Elephas maximus indicus: one gene and its partner. The protein of the gene in region 2 purifies or fractionates together with the protein of the main gene of each other region. This does not show direct contact. Links are inferred from orthologs where the notes say so. Each region holds a gene or a part of one and is shown on either strand. Other genes may lie near its edges.

Region 1 (7,769 bases), on a different chromosome or scaffold from region 2:
GGCAGTAGTTGTATTAGTGAGACAGGACTCAATCTACCAGATTGAATTGTGTCTTGAGGCGATCTCTTGAGATATAAAAGAAAGAAGCGATCAGAGGGATGGGACCTCATACCACCAAGAAAGCAGTGCTGGGAGAGAGCGCATCCTTTGGATCCAGGGTGCCTGCGCAGAGAAGCTGTTAGTCTAGGGGAAGACTGATGAGAAGGCCAACAGAAAGAGAGAGAAAGCCTTCCCCTGGAGATGACATCCTGAATTTGGACTTTTAACCTACTTTACAGTGAAGAAACAAGTCTCTTTATTAAAGCCATTCACTTGTGGTATTTCTGTTACAGCAGCACTGGATGAGCAAGATACCTTACCAGAGATAAAAGGAAATGGAAGCAGGCAGAGAGCTGGGGACTCATACCACCAAGAAAGCAATGCCGGGGGCACAGCATGTCCTTTGGACTTGAGGTCCTGCACAGAGAAGCTCCCAGAACAGGGGAAGATTGTTGACAAGGATCTTCCTCCAGAGCCAACAGAAAGAAAGCCTTCCCCTGGAGCTGATGCCCTGAATTTAGACTTGTAACCTACTAGACTGTGAGAGAATAAATTTCTCTTTGTTAAAGCCAACCACTTGTGGTATTCCTTTTATAGTAGCACTAGATATTCAAGACAACAGGTTTCAGTGGGGCTTCCAAACTTAGACAGACTAGGAGAAAGAACTTTGTGATCTACTTCTGAAAAAATTGGCCAGTGAAAATCTTATGAATAGCAGCAGAACATTGTCTGGGATAGTGCCAGGAGAGGAGGCTATCAGATTGGAAGGCACTCAAAATACGACTGAGGAAGAGCTGCCTCCTCAAAGTAGAGCTGACCTTAGTGATATGGATGGAGTCAAGCTTTTGGGACCTTCATTTGATGGCGTGGCATGACTCAAAATGGGAAGAAACAGCTGGAAACATTCTTTAATAAACGGAACATGGAATATGCAAAATATGAATCTAGGAAAACTGGAAGTCATCAAAAATGAAATGGACTGTATAAAGATCGATATCCTAGGCATTAGTGAGCTGAAATGGACTAATACTGGCAATTTAGAATCAGACAATCATATGGTCTACTATGCCAGGAATGACAACTTGAAGAGGAATGGCATTGAATTTATCGTCAAAAAGAACATTTCAAGGTCTATCCTGAAGTACAGCGCTGTCAGTGATAGGATAATATCCATACGCCTACAAGGAAAACCAGTTAATACAACTATTATTCAAATTTACGCACCAACCACTAAGGCCAAAGATGAAGAAATAGAAGATTTTTACCAGCTGCTACGGGGAAACCCTGGTGGCATAGTGGTTAAGTGCTATGGCTGCTAACCAAAGGGTCGGCAGTTTGAATCTGCCAGGCGCTCCCTGGAAACTCTATGGGGCAGTTCTACTCTGTCCTATTGGTCGCTATGAGTCAGAATCGACTCGACGGCACTGGGTTTGGGTTTTTTTTTTTATCAAATTCTACAGTCTGAAATTGATCAAACACGCAGTTAAAATGCATCGATAATTACTGGTGATTGGAATGTGAACGCCGGAAACAAAGAAGAAGGATCAGTAATTGGAAAATATGGCCTTGGTGATAGAAACAATGCCGGAGATCACACAATAGAATTTTGCAAGGCCGATGACTTCTTTATTGCAAATACCTTCTTTTACCAACATAAACGGCGACTATACACATGGAATTCGCCAGATGGAACACACAGAAATCAAATTGACTACATCTGTGGAAAGAGACGATGGAAAAGTTCAATATCATCAGTCAGGACAAGGCCAGGGGCCGACTGTGGAACAGACCATCAATTGCTCATATGCAAGTTCAGGCTGAAACTGAAGAAAATCAGACCAAGTCCACGAGAGCCAAAATATGACCTTGAGTATATCCCACCTGAATTTAGAGACCACCTGAAGAATAGATTTGATGCATTGAACACCAGCAGCCGAAGACAAGACGAGTTGTGGAATGACATCAAGGACATCATCCATGAAGAAAGCAAGAGGTCATTGAAAAGACAGGAAAGAAAGAAAAGACCAAGATGGATGTCAGAAGAGACTCTGAAACTGGCTGTTGAGCATTGAGCAGCTAAAGCGAAAGGAAGAATTGATGAAGTAAAAGAACTGAACAGAAGATTTCAAAGGGTGGCTCGAGAAGACAAAGTAAAGTATTATAATGACATGTGCAAAGAGCTGGAAAACCGAAAGGGAAGAACATGCTCGGCGTTTCTCGAGCTAAAGAACTGAAGGAAAAATTCACGCCTCAAATTGCAATAGTGAAGGATTCTATGGGGGAAAATATTAAACGACGCAGGAAGCATCAAAAAAAAGATGGAAGGAATACACTGAGTCATTATACCAAAAACAATTAGTTGATGTTCACCATTTCAAGAGGTGGCATATGATCAGGAACCGATGGTACTGAAGAAGAAGCCCAAGCTTCTCTGAAGGCATTGGTGAAAAACAAACCCACCAAAACAAAACCCACTGCCGTCCAGTCGATTGCGACTCATAGCGACCCTATAGGTTGGAGTAGAACTGCCCCACAGAGTTTCCAAGGAGCGCCTGGTGGATTAAAACTGCCAAACTCTTGGTTAGCAGCCATAGCACTTAACCACTATGCCACCAGGATTTCCGGTGAAAAACAAGGCTCCAGGAATTGATGGAATATCAATTGATATATTTCAACAAATGGATGCAGTGCTGGAGATGCTCACTCGTCTATGCCAAGAAATATTGAAGACAGCTTCCTGGCTAACTCACAGGAAGAGATCCATATTTACACCTATTCCCAAGAAAGGTGATCCAACCAAATGTGGAAATTATAGAACAATATCATTCATATCACACACAAGCAAAATTTTGCTGAAGATTATTCAAAAACAGCTGCAGCAGCGTATTGACAGGGAACTGCCAGAAATTCAGGCCGGCTTCAGAAGTGAATGTGGAACCAGGAATATCATTGCTGATGTCAGATAAATCCTGGCTGAAAGCAGAGAATACCGGAAGGATGTTTACTTGTGTTTTATTGACTATGCAAGGCATTTGACTGTGTGGAACATAACAAACTAGGGATAACACTGAGAAGAATGGGAATTCCAGAACACTTAATTGTGCTCATGAGAAACCTTTACACAGATCAAGAGGCAGTTGTTTGGACAGAACAAGGGGATACTGATTGGTTTAAAGTCAGGTGTGCGTCAGGGTTGTATCCTTTCACCATACGTATTCAATCTGTATGCTGAGCAAATAATCTGAGAAGTTGGACTATATGAAGAAGAACGGGGCATCAGGATTGGAGGAAGACTCTTTAACAACCTGCATTATGCAGATGACACAACCTTGTTTGCTGAAAGTGAAGAGGACTTGAAGCACTTACTAATGAAGATCAAAGACCACAGCCTTCAGTACGGATTGCACCTCAACATAAACAAAACAAAAATCCTCACAACTGGACCAACGAGCAACATCATGATAAATGGAGAAAAGATTGAAGTTGTCAAGAATTTCATTTTACTCGGATCCACAATCAACAGCCATGGAAGCAGCAGTCAGGAAATCATAAGATGGATCCCATTGGGTAAATCTGCTGCAAAGGACCTCTTTAAACTGTTGAAGAGCAAAGATGTGACCTTGAAGACTAAGGTGTGCCTGACCCAAGCCATGGTATTTTCAATCCCATCATACGTGTGTGAAAACTGGACAGCGAATAAGGAGGACCGAAGAAGAATTGATGCCTTTGAATTGTGGTGTTGACGAATAATATTGAATATACCATGGAGTGCCAAAAAAACGAACAAATCTGTCTCAGTAGTACAACCAGAATGCTCCTTAGAAGCAAGGATGGTGAGACTGCATCTTACATAGTTTGGACATGTTGTCAGGAGGGATCAGTCCCTGGAGAAGGACATCATGCTTGGTAGAGTACAGGGTCAGCAGAAACGAGGAAGACCCTCAACGAGGTGGATTGACACAGTGGCAGCAAGAATGGGCTCAAGTACAACAACGATAGTAAGGATGGCTCAGGACTGGGCAGTGTTTCGTTCTGTTGTGCACAGGGTCGGTACGAGTCGGAACCGACTCGACGGCACCTAACAACGACAAGAACATACACGTAGACCTCGCCAGATGGAATACAGAAGTATCAAATTGACTGTCGTTGTTGATGATTCTGTTACATTCCTTGCTTGAACTCGAGCTGACTTTGCTCTGGCAGCATGTTCGTCGGTTTCTCACTTTTGCTTCTTGGAACATATGCCAAATAAAATCTTTCTTCTTGCTTTAGTATAAAAAGATTTTACCCTAGTACAGTATTTAAACCCTGGGAAAAATTTCTTTGGGTGGAGCGCTTAGTTCATTTCATGGACTCTGAGTTGTCCCGGATTCGAATAGTTTTTATGCCTTCAATAAAACTCAATACTTTGATTTTTAACAGTGCTTCCAGTTTGCTCTTTGACACACCGAAACTAGCCCAGTGGTACAAGAGCACTTGCGTTCCCACGTGTTTCTGAACAGAGCCTTTTCGCAGGGAGCAGGCTCTGCAAGCTCCCTAAACCCAGGAAAGGCATTGTCCCATCAAAGCCTCCGTAGCTCAGCTCGCCGGCCTGGTTTGGCAGAAGCCCGCGACCCCGCGCAGCAGCGAATCAGGTGGCGGCGTTTACAGTGGGGGAGGGACTTCCTTTCGCAGTGCGCTCGCATACGTGAATGGAAACCCCGCCCCGGAACTGTAGGCGACGCTACCCCTAAGGGGCGGACGCGGTGTTTTCTGAGGAGGTCGGCGGCTGGGTCTGAAGCAGGGTCTGAAGCGTCCTCGGCGGGGTCGCCACACGGTGAATCCTAGGGCTGGAGCGGGACCGGGGTCGGCGCTAGAGTGGAGTTGGGTGCGGGCTCTGGGGTTCCCATCGCGGGCCTCTCCGGCTCGCTGGATTCCCCGGATTTTGAATGGACGGCCGCCGGCTCAGGCCGCGCAGCCAAGCTGCGTGTCTCTCCCGCGCGCAGGGCCCCTTCCCCGTGTCCAGGGCCTCTTCCTCGTGCATAAAGGTTCGGGGGTCTCGGCTTCTTTGCTTAGTGCGCTCGTTGGTGCCTAAGATGAAGGGAGAGCTCCAGGCGCGGAGCCGGGCGCGACCTGGCGGCGCGCGGAGGGACCCTGATGCCCCGTAGTTTGCGCTCCGCGTCCTCGCCCCTGTTTGAGTGACTCCCCCCCCTTATCGTTGAACCCCGACTGTTTGTGAACGTGACGTAGCTTGTGTGGTGGGCGAACCTTCCAGTGCGTGCTGAATTGCTTACCCCGTGTCAGACGCCATGCTAAGCGGTTTTTGACTTGCGTCACTTTTTTAGATTGTCCTAACGACCCATTGAGACAGATACCTCGTCACCCCTTTTACAGACGAGGAAACTGAGGCTCACAGGGATGTATTCATCCACCAGAGGCCCAGAGCTGACAAGTGGTGGGTCCGGTTTTGAACCTAGATTGACCTTTTCCACAGGATGTGCTGTCTTTCTTGGCCTTTCTGAAAAGGGAGAACTTGGATTGAGTTAGGCCCAGACAATTTGTGCCTAAATGGTCTTTAAATCACTTAAAATATACTGAAAAAGCTGGATGGGTTTTAAGCCTTTTGGCAAATGCCAGAAGGTTGGAACGGGCATCTTTTTGCTTCGGGTGAGGCTTGAGAAGGAAAAATGCTCCAGAGCACTTTTGAGACTCTTACCTTCAAAAAAAAAAACAAACCCAGGTTTTTATTCTGCCTTCACAAGGGATAATGTGTGGCAGGCTTTACTCGCCATGCTTCCCGTAATGTTTCATTTACTTGCATAAAACATTTTTTGACTTAGATATTATTAGTTCCTTCGCCTCTTAAAGATGAGAACATAGAGGTTCAAAGAGAAGTAAGTAGCAGTGTCCAAGATCCCACAAGCAGTTAAGTGTTGAGTCTGGAATCTAAATGAGGTTTAGCTCATGTGTCTTTGCTTCATCTCCCATGTCTCCACTGTTCCAGGCCAGGCTGTCTCTTCTGTGGGTGTACTTTCTTTTTAAAACATATTTTATTGTGTTTTAGGTGAAAGTTTACATGACAAATTAGGTTCTCATTTAACAATTTTTATTCACATAATCTGTGACATTGGTAACAATTTTCACAGCCTGTCAGCATTCTTATTGTATCCATTCTGTTTGTTCTTTTTCTGTTGATCTAGTTTCCCTACCCGTCCTTGCCTTCTCATCTTAGCTTTGGGGTAAGTGTTGAGCATTTGGGCTTGTATAGTTGATTGTTTAAGGGAACGCATTACTCACAGGTGATATTATTTATTTTATAAGCCAGTCTATTATGTGGCTGAAAGTTGACCTCTGGGAGTAGCTTCAGTTCCAAGTTCAGAGGGTATCGTCGGGTGGTAGTCTCGGGGGTTCCTCTAGTCTATAGGTGTAGTAGATCTGGCCTTTTTTAGGAATTTGAATTTTGTTGTACATTCTTTCCTTTCTATCTGGGACCGTCTGTTGTATCCCAGGTCAGAATGGTTGGTAGTGGTAGTTGGCCACTGTCTAGTTCTGGTCTCAGACTAGAAGAGGCCGTGGTTCCTGTGGGATATTAGTCCTGTGGGCTAGTTTCTTTGAGTCTTTGGTTCTTTCATTCTCTTTTGCTCCAGACAAGTGGAAACCAGCAGTTGTATCTTAGATGGCCACTGATAAGCGTTTAAGATCCTAGACACTACTTACCAACCTGGAACGTAGAACATTATGAGCTACGTTATGCCAGTTTTCTGAGTTGTCCTGTGAGACTATGGTCCTGAGCCCTCAAACCTGGTAAACCAATCCCGAGAGGTGTTTAGATATATCTAGGAAGTCTCTGTAACTGTTTTGTTTTGTGCTATATTTTATATATATGAATATATGCAGCACACACACAAACACGTATATACATACAGCTACGGATATACCTGTACAGGCATGTGCGAGTATCACACACGCCTTCCCATTCACATGCATGCATACATCTGCTGTAGGGTTGTATGAGTCAGAATTGACTCGACGGCAGTGGGTTTGGTTTCATTTTTTTTTTTTTTTTTTGGTGTATTTCTTCCCCTCTTTGATATTCTCTAGTAGAGAGTATCAGTGTTAGACCATCTTGTGTCCTCAGTTGGGTCATATATTGCCTCAGAACCCTATACGTCTCAGTTGCCAACCTCAAAGAATATTTCTCTCATTTTCAGCAACCATGAAGTTGAAGGAGACAAAATCAAAGCCAAAGCCACCAACCTATCGCAAATTTCAGATGAAGGGAATCAAAGTTGTGGGAAAATGGAAGCAGGTGAAGATTGACCCAAACATGTTTGCAGATGGACAGATGGATGACTTAGTGTGCTTTGAGGAACTGACAGATTACCAGTTGGTCTCCCCTGCCAAGAATCCCTCCAGCCTCTTCTCAAAGGAAGAGCCCAAGAAGAGAAAGGCACAAGCTGTTTTAGAGGAAGGAGAGGCCAGCTCCCCAAAGAAAAAGGTCATGTTGAAGAAGAGTAAAGATGTGGAAACTGAAGGTACTAGTGCCCAGAAAGAGTTTGAAGTCAAAGATGCTGAGCTAGGGCTTCAGGAAGTTGGCTCCATTTGTCGTGAGCCAGAGGTGGAAGAGATAACGTCAGGAAGCCAGGCCCACACTGTTCCAAAAAAGAAGAAGAAGAAAGGGAAAAAAAAACTGGAGCCTTCCCAGGGTACTACTCCGAAGGTGCCCAAAAAGGCGAAGACATGGATGCCTG
Region 2 (7,698 bases):
AAGACCAAGTTATTCGAACTATATTTCTAAGGATACAGCTTTAACAGAAATAAGATGACAACTGCTACAAATATTCAAATAAGTTTCTAATATTGTACATGAAAATAAGGTTGATATGCTTCCAAATGTTCCCAACTGAAAGCAAAAGAAAGCCTGTACAGCTCAATTATTCCAGTAGGTAGAAATAAAAGGTAACAGCATTTTATATAATACTGAAATAAAAGGAACAGTATTAATCTTCAACATAAATAAGGTCACATGAAAGAAAGAAAACACCTGAAGTTGCATCGTTTCCTTAAAGAACCCTACTCTAAAAAAAAAAAAAAAAATGTATTATTTAACACTTCAATTCTATCCATCCCAAACCCGAGAAAAGTATTTCTCCTCCCATCACCCCTTTCTCAAAGGCTCTGTCAGTTCAATCTTAATTCTAGCCCCAATTCTGTAGCTCATTTCTGCCTCTGGCCTTTTGTTTGGTTTTTGCTGCTTAGAGCATCCACCACAATCTCTTAAATTCTTCCACTCTAAACTAGAAATCATCTTTCATTGTATTTAGATCTCTCTCTAAAAAGGGAGACATGGAGTTGGAAAGACAGTACAGGGGCAATAAGAATTCTGGCAGTCTATTTTATAGGACAACCTGTTTCTGGAAATGACAGCCAAATTAAACTAAAAAGCCTGCTTTTACAGATTTTTCTCAGCTATCACTTTTTTTTCTTTTAAAGAGAGAGAAAAAATTTACTGCTACCCTGAAACTTATCATGTTCAGGATGAGGAAGGGAAGCAAATAAAGGTACCTAGGTTTTGTGAATTCACTGGTTGAGGTTGAGAAAGCCTGGTACTTGGAAAGGACATCATCCTCACCTTTGCCATGAGGATGACTCTAACCATTTGTGTAAGAGTCAATAGGGTTTCTGGAAGATTGGGGGGTGGGGGTGTGAGGAATTGAGGCATCTTTTGTGTGCTGGCTGGAAACCTGGGTCCACCATCAGTTTTGAAGATCCTTGTTTACTAGAAATCAGACAGTGAGGCTGACAACAGTCTAGAAGGCGATTGTTCAGAAGGCTGCAGCCAAGGAGAGGGGGCATAGTCAGGAGGAGGCAGCAACAGAAAGTGACAAGTAGGAAGACCAATGGAGTCACACAAACCAAGTAGCCCACTGCTGCTCTCCCTTGACATCATTAACACCCAGCCAATTGTCCAGAGGCCATGTGCCTTGACTGCCAGATGCAGAGCAAGGTGTGTAGGAGCCAAAGCTAGAAATGCAGGTGGTGGTAGCCAGAGCCGAGACCCCTGAAATAAAGAAAGTCCAAGCAGTGCAGATAAAGTGTAATCTACGGCATCTAGTGCTTGCCTTGGAGTGGTGTGAACCATGGCCACGCAGTATGTGGTGTTAATACAAGAGCGGGTGAACAGCACAAAGATCGCGTTAAAGTGGAGGAGCATGAAAGTCTCAATCTGGAGGCTGAGAGAGCTGAATGTCCAGAGGGAAGGCGCAGAAAAATCAGCACAGAAAAAGTAGAAAGCATACCCTTGCCGTTGCCCAAGCACAGGTCTGGGGACCCTGTGCTAGAGTATTTCCAAGGACAAAGGTTAACCGGACTGGAATCCAAATGGCCTGGGGATCTCCACTGGCTCCCTTATCAGGCGACGTCTGGGTCTACGGGCCCCTTCACGCAACAAGTAGTACTTAAGTGGATCTGGCCACAGGTCCTCTTTGATAATCTCAGCAATCCTGTCAGATTCTGGAAGGCTATGGTCTGAAAACCAGGTGAAGAAGCTGCAGACTGTATCTTGGTTCCTGCGAATGAAGGACTGGGGTTCATGGCCTCTGCGCCAGATGATGGGAGTGGAAAGAGACACCACTCGGCCTGAGGATCTGACCTCATATTCCTTGACAATCAACTTGTTCCTGAAATACGGGTTTCTTCGGAAGAAGAACTTGAACTTGCAGCCCGTCCTAGGGTGTCTGAGCTCCTTCACCTCCAAATTGGTTATGTACCTTAGCATCTCTGCATCTTGGCCCCTAATCATGGCGGACAGCTGGGGGTGGTTCCGAAAGGCGGTGCCCCAGAAGCCGGGGATATTCTGAATGATGTAGTTCCTGCGCTCCAGGTAGTGTCGACGCATCCGCCCAAACTTCTGCTCCAGCTGGAGGAAGGCTCTGTCAGCCTGAGCATTCACAGTGTCCAGTTCCTGCTGAATGGCCTCTAGAGGGTTCATGCGGAGATCCATATTCAGGGGCCGGGGTCTCGCTTCCTCTATCACTCTATTTTCCTCCACCACTTCCATTTCTTCACCTACTGGCTTCTCTTCCATCTCCATCTCCTCCTCCACTACCTCCTCATCCATTACTCCTTCCTTCTCCATTTTCTCTTCCACCACCTCAGCCCTCTCCTCCTCCACTGCTACTACCAAGATGGCGCACGTTTCAGTCTTTATGTCCTTGGCCTTCGCCCCAACTATCGCCTCAGACTCGGAGCTCCCTTCGTCACAGGTTTCTAGGGCCTTCTTCCCACCAGAGCCGCAAGGCTCTCCACCCAGACAGTCATTTTTCAGGCTGTTATCAGTTGCCACGGAGGCAGAGGCTGCTTCCAGGCTCTCTGTGGGAGGCGGAGCCTCTTCGTTCCCCGCTGTGGTCTCCAGATGACTGCGATCTCCACTGACTCGAATCCGGGAAGTGTCGCCACAGGCCGCGGGGTCCCGGGGTGCGTCCCTCTCCTCTGGAAGCTGGGGTGGTGGGGGCTCAACGGTCTCCAAGCTGCTCTTACCCGTCTCCGCCATCATCGCCGTCGCCTCGGTTTCTCCTCGGAGGCTCTCGCAGTGGTGTTGGTCCGGGTTTCCTGGGGCACGGTCGGGAGTAGTGATGCTGCAGACTTCGGAGACAGGGGTCCTCTCGCCTCCATCCAGGCCGCTCATGTTGATAGCTGGCGACCCTCGGCTAGCGGGCGACGGTTTTCCTCAAAGAAGCCGCACTCCAGACAAACCGGCCGTTCGCACCACCCACTCTTAGTCTCGCGAGCTTTACCTTGGCGATGACGTCAGAGCTGAAGGCTCTCGCCACAGCGCGAGACTCGCTGAGCCCCGGGGTTGGGTCCGCCGCTGCTTATTGTTGAAGTGTACTAGCGTTAATCAGTTGGATTGGTAATTTGGTTTAATAAACGTTGATCTGCACGATATACATAAATATCCAAAATCAAAACCAAACCTCCTGCTTTGAAGTAGATTCTGATTCATAATGACCCTGTAGGACATAGTAGAACTGCCCCATAGGGTTTCCAAGGCTGTAATGTTCACGTAAGCAGACTAACACTTTTTTGCCTCACACAGCGAAGGGACGCAGCGCTTTAACCACTGCACCACCGGGACTCCTTCCCATATATATATAAGGACTACAAAAATGAGGATCTCTGAGTCTGAAGGCAGTGAGACCGTCCCTGCGATGTATCTGGAAACTCCTTCCAGCCTGTAACTGGCACAGCTCTGTACTGCTGTACTACGTCTGAAAACATTATTTTTCCAGTTTTCCTTTTTTTTTAGATAGGGAAATAAATATATCCTTTGTTATTCCATAATGGCTAGAAACAAAAGCTTCACTTTTAACTAAGTGGGTAGCAAATTGTTTCTCTTTTCTCAAGTAGGAGTGGCAGGAAATATAAATTCGAGCCTGTAATGTTACTGGGACAAAAAGCTACTCAGAGGTTTTTTTTTTTCTTCTTCTTCTTCTTTTTTTTTTTTTAAACTACTAAAGTGATACATATTGTTTATTGTCAGTCCTTAATTTATAATCTGCATTCAAGAGATTATGCTGCATAAGGTCTGCAGGCAGGAAGCCAGGAACAATTTGCTAAATGTTACTCCATGGTCTCTTCCTGCAGGAAAGAGGAAATGATCAGCTATTTCCAGCCCCATAAACGGTTAATGTATTTAGTTCTATAAAGTAAGAAAGGTTGACTGTAATGAAGTATCTTTTCAGGGCAATCAGCTCATTGAGTTCATTTGAGAGGGATGTCAGTGTCTTTTTGGATGTTTTAGTTTGTTGGCTTGTGAGAAAAACTGGCATCTTAGAGTTATAAACCAAACCCACTGCTGTCCAGTTGATTGCGACTCATAGCGATGCTATAGGACAGAGTAGAACTGTCCCCTAGGATTTCCAAGGTTGTATATCTTTACGGAACCAGACTCACATCTTTCTTTCCTGGAAGCTGGTGGGTTCGAACAACCGACCTTTCAGTTAGCAGCCCAGCTTGTAACAACTGTGCCAACAAAGCTCGTCAAAGTTGTAAGCTATCAGAGAAATACCGATGGGGGGTGGGGCATCCACCACCGTTTTTATGAGGAAAAAAAGAAAAACAGGTTACAATGTGTTACCACAATGGCCTTGAAGTAGAAAACAAACTTGCAGAACTTAAACATACAGCTAGTTGATTTAAGATGTAGAAATGGCAATTTTCCCCCTATTTTCTTTGCCTGTGTGTTAGGCTGACAAATAATGGCCCCCAAAGATGCCTTCGTTCTAATTCCTAGAACAAAAGGGACTTGGCAGATATCGTTAAGTAAAGGAGTTTGAGATGGGAAGATTATCTTGGATTATCTGAGTGGGCCCAATGTAATCACAAAGGGTCTTATCAGAAGAGTGTCAGAGTCAGAAGGAGATGTGGTGGTGGAAGTAGAGGTCAGGAGAGAGAGAAAAAGATTTGAAATGCTATGCTGTAGGCTTTGAAGATGGAGGAAGGACCAGCAGTCAAGGTATGCAGGCAGCCTCTAAAAAATAAACAAAAATAAATAAAAAATTTTTTTTTTTCTCTAGACACGGGAAAAGGCAAGGAAACTGATTCTCCCCTAGAGCCTCCAGAGGAGTGCAGACCTGTCAACGTACGGATTCTAGGACTTCTAACCTCCAGAACCGTAAGATAATAAACTTGTATTGTTTTAAGCCACTGGGTTGGTGGCAATTTGTTACAGCAGAAATAGAAAACTAGTACAGCTTGGATTGAAGTTTGATTGAATCTGCTTGCCTCAATTTTTTTTTCTAGCAGCAGGTTCTGCAACCTTGCTGGTTGCTTTCCCTGAGATCCTTCCTGACAGCTGGGATTTATAATAGCTTGAGGCACTGGGTGGGAGTCTCTTTTTGGACATTGGGGCCATAAATGTACTTAGGCAATACACAGAAAGACAAAATTAAAACCAAAACCTACAAAAAAAAAAAAAAGATATTTGAGAAAATACTGTGAGCTCTAGGAAGACAGGGACATGGTTTTGTTCACTACTATGTACCAAATGCCTGGCACAGTGTTCCATACGTTATAGAATGTTAAATGAATTAGCAAACAAACAGAACACAGTTTCTCTTGCCTACAACTTTGGGTTTGCAAAAGAGAAGTGAGGGGCACATGAATTGTCACCCCGCTCTCCAGCTGCCACTGGCAAACCAGAGGACCAACCTACTGTCGGCAGTAGCAAACTCCTAGCCGGGAGAATGAATTTCTACATATGTATCAAAGCCTGGGAAAACAATTTGTTTTATAAATAATTTACATTTGTGTGGTCACACTGCATGACAAACAAACTCTGAAAGGTGTTTACATAGCAAAGCAGCTTCCAACTACCAGCACAGCATTTCTCTTCTTCTGATTCTTCTCTCCTTTCTGTGCAAGCGAAGGGAATGATTCCAGGCCTTACTTCTTTTCCCTCTGCAAGAAATGGATAGCTCCTTCGATGCATGGCTGAAATTACTTTTAGTAGAGATAAGAATGAATAATGGAACTTTCCACAAAGCCCACTTCTTTTTAATTGTATGAAATCATCTTCTATCTTGGAATGGAAATAATTTAATTTGCCCTAAAGTGGAAACTTTTACTGCTGTAATATACTTTTATTTTAAAGCAAAAAGTAATAGCAGACTTTCGCCAGTCGTAGAAGATACTGCCTTATTTGTCCAAGTCACCATTAGGATTTCTGAAAGCGTAATTAGCCCTCTAACTGATAATGTTAGGAAAGATTCCAATTACGGATGGTGTTATGTTAATGTAATCAGGAGTCTGCTGAATGTAATGTCCCCAGATAAGGTTAAGACACTTTGGAGAATTGCATCCTACTCTTCCTGTCAGTACATTTGAAAAAGCTGTGATACAGAATATTTCTGTATTTGAATGAATAAATACAGAAAATGAGGAGACACATTTCTTTGAATTTTAATTATCTGAAAATCACAATAGAGAAATGATTATGATTTTAACTCTTCATTATAGATAATGGAGAGCCCAGATTCTAATAACTTTTAATTAAACAACTGCAGAGGAGATGGGCCACTGAGAGGCAGATATTTAGAGGGAAAAGCAGGTTTGCATACTCTGTTCCCTTTCTTTTCCTAAATTATTTTTTGCATGGGTGAAGAAGGTACTTTCTTGGATTTTAACCTGATCCAAGATTTATGTGCTTAGGGGGAATTATTTTACCCTGCAGGAAAAAAAAAATGTGGTTACTATTTGCCACAGATAATTATTGTAAAAGGGATATTACCTGTGGATTTTTTTTTCTTAACATTTTATACCTAAAGTCTTAAGAAGGAGATGTGTGTCTTTTTCATGACACAGGTTAATCTGTTCTTTGAAACGTTATCTTTTTAGGCAGATCCTGTCCATTCTCCAAGACCGAGCATAAACCTGTCTTGCTTTAGAATGTGCTAGGCGTTTTATGTGCATGAAAATTTTAAATTTTATAAAAAAGGAAATAATAACTCTGAAAGGTTAACTAACTTAACCAAGATCATTCCTGTAAAAAAATAAAAATAAAAAATAAATTTTTTTTTTTTTTTTTTCCTGTAGTAACCGCTAAACTCCTCCTCCCTCTCCTAGATGCAGCTTTCCTGGACCGCTCTGCAGTTCACTGAGCTTCCTAGAGCTCTTTTATAAGGTTTACCACGCAATGTAGCACTTAATTATATTCCTCCTCTTAGTGACTGTTCCATACATGTCAGTCTCATCATCCCAGCATTTCAGCATCTTCCCAAGGGATGGGAGCACTGTAGCTTCTTCTGTTGCATGTACTCAGCATAACGATAACAATATCTGATGCTTTGAATAAAATAGAACCTGAAATGATCCTACAAAAACTAACAATGTGTCTACATTGGCATTTTATTTTATTTGAAGGAGGGATATGTATTTTGGCCATGTTTTATACATTACCTTTTAGTACTTTGGAATATAGGCTATATCTGTATATGACAGAGCATTTCTGTGGCAATTGGCAATAAACCAAAAGGTAGTTGAACAGATTGTGGTTCTTCAGGAAAACATCCACCAAAAAAAAAAAAAAAATGACATGAAGCTATTCTCCGTCATATCGAGGAATCATAGAGTCTTCAGCAATGATTTCTCGGGTGGCAATCAGTTTAGCAGACATTATTGTTTTGCAGAAGGATATGTTTCCTGGTTGTAATTAATGATAGCTTTCATTTATTTAAAACCTGTTGGCGTAGTGGTTAAGTGCTACGGCTGCTAACCAGAGGGTCGGCAGTTCAAATCCGCCAGGTGCTCCTCAGAAACTCAGTGGGGCAGTTTTAGTCTGTCCTATAGGGTCGCTATGAGTCGGAACCAACTCGACGGCACTGGGTTTTGGGTTTTTTCATTTATTTACTACTTTTGGTGTACTAGTACTGTTATAAGCATGATCACAGGTATTTTCAGCTTTTAT

The links. The genes of interacting proteins can lie anywhere in the genome.
Region 1: the proteins of TSPYL1 (region 2) and DDX24 purify together in Homo sapiens (affinity purification with mass spectrometry; 3 studies listed by BioGRID and IntAct, counting the BioPlex papers as one, with this or other methods). This does not show direct contact. The link is inferred for Elephas maximus indicus from reciprocal best matches to the Homo sapiens genes TSPYL1 and DDX24.

What each region holds. Positions count from the first base shown.
Region 1 is NC_064828.1:107,656,115-107,663,883, reverse strand, and holds the start of DDX24 (ATP-dependent RNA helicase DDX24), read left to right. Parts: upstream 1-4,763; 5' UTR 4,764-4,855; intron 4,856-7,229; 5' UTR 7,230-7,234; coding exon 7,235-7,769. UniProt on the Homo sapiens protein: ATP-dependent RNA helicase that plays a role in various aspects of RNA metabolism including pre-mRNA splicing and is thereby involved in different biological processes such as cell cycle regulation or innate immunity.
Region 2 is NC_064819.1:182,883,880-182,891,577, forward strand, and holds the start of TSPYL1 (testis-specific Y-encoded-like protein 1), read right to left. Parts: upstream 3,004-7,698; 5' UTR 2,920-3,003; coding exon 1,594-2,919; 3' UTR 1-1,593.